Linked DNA regions of Saccharomyces cerevisiae S288C. The gene in region 1 interacts genetically with each later gene. Each region holds a gene or a part of one and is shown on either strand. Other genes may lie near its edges.

Region 1 (2,873 bases):
CTAGTAAAAGAATACTTGACAAGACTCTTTAGTTGCACTTTAGAAATTTGGAGGTGCTGAGAAAGCGGTGGATACCAAGGTACGATCGTATAGTATATATATATATATATATTACAGTGTTATCAAACAGGTTTTCTTGGCTTGCCGCTTTTGATCTGGGTTAGCCCCGCAAGATGATGTTTTACCCCTTATTTTTGATCTAGCCTTTTTTTTGTTCAATTGGATCTGAATCGCTAAAGATTTAAACTAAAGAAAGAAGAAGACAGGATAACAATCAATGGATACAACAAATAGGGGCATTCGGAGACACAGAGTATCCATTTTATTTTCTTTTTTCTTCCGGTAGCTGGTCTTACACTTATTCTTGTCAGCAGACGGTGCGCCGCCACTCCCATTGTAACTCTTGTGATGAGCTCTCCTTTCAATGGAAAAGGAACATCACGTGAAGCGAACGCGTATGAAGAGGAAATCAGTTAGTTGATGTTTGTATGGGAATATTGTCTGTTGGAAGTTTATAGAAACAATAATGCGTGTGTATTTATGTATGTTGAGTGCATATATATGTAGGTAGATTGTTTTTTTCTTTTGATTATCATTCCTTAATCGTTATTCTAAAATGAAGACAGCCACAATCTGTAGTTTTGTTGGGCGGCATTGGCATAAAGATCGGTCAATTTATCACACGACTGGGTAGTTTTGGCCGCGACGGCCATGCGACAATCCTGGACGTTATTCATGGCTTGGTGTTTGTAGTTGTTTTCTTGAGGGTTATCTAACGAGAACACAGTCTCGTCCGAGGCAGAACTTGTGTTCAAATCGAACTTCCCGGTGTCTCTCGGTACCACGAAAGGACCATTCAAATTATTATATTTGGCATCTTCCGAAGTATTGAGTGAATAATGCTCACCAAGTGACACATGCTCGGTAAATTGATAATTGGCAAAAGATAAGGGAAACACCTCATCGTCTAAAGGAGTGGCATAGTTTGAAGACATTTCTTGGTTTTATTGTATGTGTTATATGAGAAATTCAATTCTCCTTGTCATTAGTTTGTCTATCTATATATATTAACAAACAGGCTAGTGCTGAATGACTACGGAAAACAAATATTACATGCAAAAATTTTTGACAATAATGAGTAAGAGGCACATGCACTAGAGCATAAAAATTATGAACGTGTCTAGCTACATATATATCAATTAAATTAGTCTATCCGCGTAGCCAAGAAAACGATAACAAAGGGTACTTTACCCACTTGAAGGTGTCATTAACGCTGGTATGATAACCCGCTATCAAGCTGCATAATCTTTCTCCTACTATGCGCGTCTTTTGTTTTCATTTCACGGAATGACTCTTCCGCGGAGATTGGGCCGCGCCAGAAAATTTTTTTTCATCCGCTTCAGTCATTTCTGTCTGTTTTCTGTGCGCACTCTACGCTGATCGCTTGCGGCGGTAAAATTCCCCTGATATCCACCAAGGTGCTGAAAATCGAGCTACGGGGCGCTCTTGGTACGGGAATGGCAACAGAAAGAGCAGCTAGCTCGAACAGCCAGCTCTTTTTGAGGGGGGTAACACGTATGCTGGCAAAGGGCACAGGGTCTTATTACCCCTCCTTTGGTACGGTGGTCACCACAGTAGCAGAAGCGCTCGGATCATCGCTTCCACGTCATGCCCACGTTTCGTTTCCATGCGGAAAAATGCCCTCCTTAACATGACCACTTTGGGGGTTTTTGTATATTGTTTCTTAATTGCTGATTTGTGCAGTATCCTATCGTTCGTTCTTCACCCCTCCCCTTAAACCTTGCTAGCGTTTTGATATTTTTTGTTTCCTGTCACGTTCAATACTACAAATTACACATCTCAATCGGAATCGCGGGCGCAGAGTTTTTCCGATGTTGCCCGTCGCTAATATTTGGCGACTTTTGCACGTGAACGACGTCCCCACAATAAATTTCGCAAGGAGCGGGCGTGCGTTGTTAACGTCATCCGTTAGCGAGACTTTTACGGATATTACTTTTCACCCATGGGGTGTATATGAGAGTTCAGAAGAGGGTGTGGAGAGACAGAATATTACTGTTCTTTTTTTCCAAGATATTGAGCGTTTTTTTAGTTGTTGAGATTTGTTCAAATAAGAGGTAAATATGTCTAATCCATGCCAGAAGGAGGCCTGCGCCATCCAAGGTTTGTAATATTAACTTCAAAAGATTCGATCGTTTTTTTCTTTTCACTAACGTTTTTTCACATTAATTTTAGATTGCCTTCTATCACATCAGTACGATGATGCTAAATGCGCTAAAGTTATAGATCAGCTGTACATCTGCTGCTCAAAATTTTACAATGACAATGGAAAAGATTCACGGTCACCCTGCTGTCCGCTACCTTCGCTTCTTGAGTTGAAGATGAAACAGCGAAAGCTTACACCAGGGGACAGTTGAGGCTTCCAATTGGCCCTTCTTTCTACGTATGTATGAACTAGCAATTGAAAAAAAAAAAAAGGTATGTGCGTGAAGAGAATCTAATCATAAGTACATTATTCGTACTTCCAGGGAAGATCCACTCACTTTCTTTATGAAAAAGAAATATATTTATCTAAGATCAACCGCGAGCACGACAGTGAAATAGTATTAGTACTCCACCGTATAGTAAACGATTAAGTAAACTATATACGTCCACCGCCTAAAAAAACTGTCGAAACAGAATCTCTAAAACCAAGACGAATCGTGACTCTGGGTGTCTATTATAAAAGACATTATTACCCTTTTTCAAAAAACCAAAAAAAGGAAAAGAAAAGATTTTTTAAATACCAATAAAGATTCTTGCACCACAGGAACTTCTTCTAAACTCACCGCTTTATATACCAGAAAAAGATATAA
Region 2 (3,496 bases), on another chromosome or scaffold:
AAGAGTACTTACAGTAAATAGCAGTATCCTTCGTTTTTCATCTACACTTTTCTACCTAAAATTGATCTTCCCGAAGAAGAAAAACTAAAAACTTCGATTTGATGACTGTCAAGACCCCAAGAAAGAGGGAAAAAAAAAAATGATATCTCATGCAACAACAAGTAATTAAGTGCTCCTTGTTCATGGAAGACACAACAGGCACCACTAATAACCTGAATGAGGCACCTTCGACTTTCGAGATGAGCCCTTAGTTCATCCTGGTGTTGTGTTTGAGAGGGGGAGAGCACATCATTGTACTTCCAGATCCCCCTAGCCATGATCTAATATTACCGCTGAGTAAAAATAGATCTCGGCTGCGTCTCCGTCTCCGCCCGCCTTCCGTCGGTTACTTCGTCGGTTCTTGCTCGACCCCCGCCAGTCCGCAGACAACAGTCCGCAGCAGGCAAGTGCTGGTGTCCGCTTGGTGTTTTTACGTACGATTGTCTTTGTTGTTGTTTTTACTCTTTATTACAGTTATTACTACTGTTTGTTTAGTATATACAGGTATTTGTGGTATTGATTATTTATTTACGGTTTGGTTGGATTAAGCGTTGCTAGCGTTAGTGTACAACGACGTCACTTCGTCGATGTCCTCGAGCGCTGTGGTCAGTTTCTGTAGTTTCTCGAGCGTTTCATCGCCTTGCACGAAAACTTCCATATCCGGCTTGGCATTGTAGCCGATGCCCAAGTCTCTGATGTGGAAACCACGCTCCTTCAGTAGGGCGGCCACCTTATTGGTATCGGCAGGTTCCATCACCGCCTCGTAAGTTTGGCCTGTAGTTTCAGTTTCGGTATCACACTCTAAATCTTCTGCGTCTTCCTGCACAGGCGCAATGTCTTCGATGCCTTGAATCTCCAGTACGCTTTCTAGCACCTTGTCCTCAGTGTCTAACATCTTCGGAGGTACCATTGTAACGTATCCTTTTTTGTCGAAGAAAAACAACGTTGGAGTCATCGATCCATTAGCTTTATTAAATGCACTCCTTATCAGACCTATGGTCCTGTTCTTGTTGTCTGTCAGCGCTTCCACCACTATAGCGACCCCGCCGGGCCCCATTCCCTCGTATACACATAGCTCAGAAGCGTTTGAGTCCTTGCCCGATGCGCTGCTTCCAGAAGCTTTCCGGATGGCGTTCTCAATAACTTTTTTGCTGACATTGTTTTTATTTGCTAGCTCGATGCTGGTGGCTAATCTTATATTCATGCTCGGATCCGTAATACCGTTGCCTAACTTGACTGACATTGCTATCTGGTTTGCAAACTTGTTATTAATTTTGTTTCGTTCCGCATCATTCTTGGCTTTACCGTGCTTGATGGTTGACCATTTGTTGTGACCTGAACGTACCGAGGAATTCAGCACACTAAACGATCGAGAGTTTTTGAGCAGTTCACCCAGATACCTATTTCTTACCAACATTTTCCAATTTTTGATGCGTTCATACCAAGTTTGCTGTTTTTCTTAGTTATTATCATCATCTTTCCCCTTATTGCTGCTGAAACTTGCGTACGTGCGTACTAAAAAAATTTCACTGCGCTTACGCCGGTAAAGGGAAGTAGGAAAACGAAAGAAAAAAAAAAAATAAAGGCGAACGATAACAGGAAAACCAACGTGAATTGCAAGCACTACATTTATTATATCGAGTTGACAAAGAATTAAGAAAATAGAGCACTACATTTCTATATTCATAGCTAGTCTCACTGACGCATAGTAACTAAATCATGGCTGAGAAACGTACTCTTATAGCTGTGATAGCTGACGAAGATACTACAACTGGTTTATTGTTAGCCGGGATTGGACAAATCACTCCTGAAACCCAAGAAAAGAACTTTTTTGTTTACCAAGAAGGTAAGACTACTAAGGAGGAAATCACTGACAAGTTTAATCACTTTACTGAAGAGAGAGACGATATTGCCATCCTTCTAATCAACCAACATATCGCGGAAAACATAAGAGCTAGAGTGGACTCCTTCACCAATGCGTTCCCTGCTATTTTAGAAATTCCATCTAAAGATCATCCCTACGACCCTGAAAAGGACTCTGTATTGAAGAGAGTCAGAAAGTTGTTCGGTGAGTAAGCGAACGATCTTTCCCAAAACAAACACAATTACTGGTAGATTACTAGTAGCAGGCGGAGGTGGAGGGCGGGAGCCACTGTTATTGCGTTTGTATAATATATACACTCATAAATGATATATTTAAGGTTCAGATAAAAACAACTTTTTTTTTTTTAGCACGTCTTTACTGCAGTCACCAAACCCATTTTTTTTTTCCTATTGTGAATACCCGCCCATATTTTTCACACACAACTGATGAGTAATATAAAACTTTTCTTTAAAATTATAACAAGATACACATATATAAAGACCAAAAAAGGGAACGTGACACGGCCTCGCTAATATACAATCATAATTCATTAACTGATTTGGCTAATGCTTCAATAAAGATATCAGCATGCTTCTCCTCGAATGTTAATGAAGGTCTTAATCTCACTGCATGGACTGCACATCCACCAACGTTGCAACCATTCAACTTCAATTTCTTCAATAGTAAGTCTCTCTTCTCACCAGTAGGCAAATCCCAGGCAATGAATGTGCCTCTTCCTTTACCTCTCAAGTTTTGAAAGTTTTCAGGGTATTTCTTCTGCAAACCCTCCAATTTCTTGAACAAATAATCACCTACTCTTGAACATTGTTCAGTCAACTTCTTGTCGGAGATTTCCTGTCCAATGGCACCTGCAATGATCATTCTTGCAGGTTCACCACACCATGTGTTGAATTGTCTGTATGGTTTGTTTGGAATGAATTTAGGGTCGTGGAAGAAATATCCTGCACTTTGGAATTTCTTGGAAAAGGTCACTAAATCCACAGGTGGTTGAATATCGGCGTACTCATGACACCATAGCTTACCGGTGGCTCCGACACCTGTTTGCACTTCATCTATGATGTAGACAACGTTATACTTCAAGGTAATGTCTCTTAGCTTTTGTAAGAAATACTTAGAAGCGTGGTTATCACCTCCCTCAGATTGAATTGGTTCGATGATTAAGGCAGCAACTGGAATAGACCAGGTTTTGATTAATTCTTCAACAATGGCCAAGCAATGGTCATCCTCTTTACGGTTTGCATCAGAATTTTCATCTAATGGGTATTGGTAAGATGGATACTCAGCATGAGGCCAGTGGAAGGCTGGGAAATCCAACTTGTGAATTGGTTTAGAACAAGTTGTGGAACCGGAGGCAAACAATCTACCGTGGAACGCTCTCTTGAACGATAGTACGGCAAGATGAGGGGCGCCAGGGGCGTCATTGTCCATGACAGACAAGTTTTCCTTTTCAGAAAAATCGGCATCATAGCCCCTTTGTTTGGCACGGTAATAAATAAAGGCAGCCTTGAACGCTAATTCATTGGCATCTGCACCGGAAAGCCCTGACCAGACGTGATCTTGACCCTTTGGCGC

Evidence for each region.
Region 2: mutations in ICY1 (region 1) and DPC29 together harm fitness more than expected from each alone (negative genetic interaction), as found in Saccharomyces cerevisiae (2 studies listed by BioGRID).

Annotation. Positions count from the first base shown.
Region 1 is NC_001145.3:652,156-655,028, reverse strand, and holds ICY1 (Icy1p), read right to left. Parts: upstream 996-2,873; coding exon 612-995; downstream 1-611. Other genes in the region: CMC4 (Cmc4p), read left to right, coding at 2,142-2,181, 2,254-2,435. UniProt on the Saccharomyces cerevisiae protein: Required for viability of cells lacking mtDNA.
Region 2 is NC_001139.9:525,592-529,087, reverse strand, and holds DPC29 (post-initiation translation factor DPC29), read right to left. Parts: upstream 1,457-3,496; coding exon 584-1,456; downstream 1-583. Other genes in the region: VMA7 (H(+)-transporting V1 sector ATPase subunit F), read left to right, coding at 1,759-2,115; UGA1 (4-aminobutyrate transaminase), read right to left, coding at 2,444-3,496.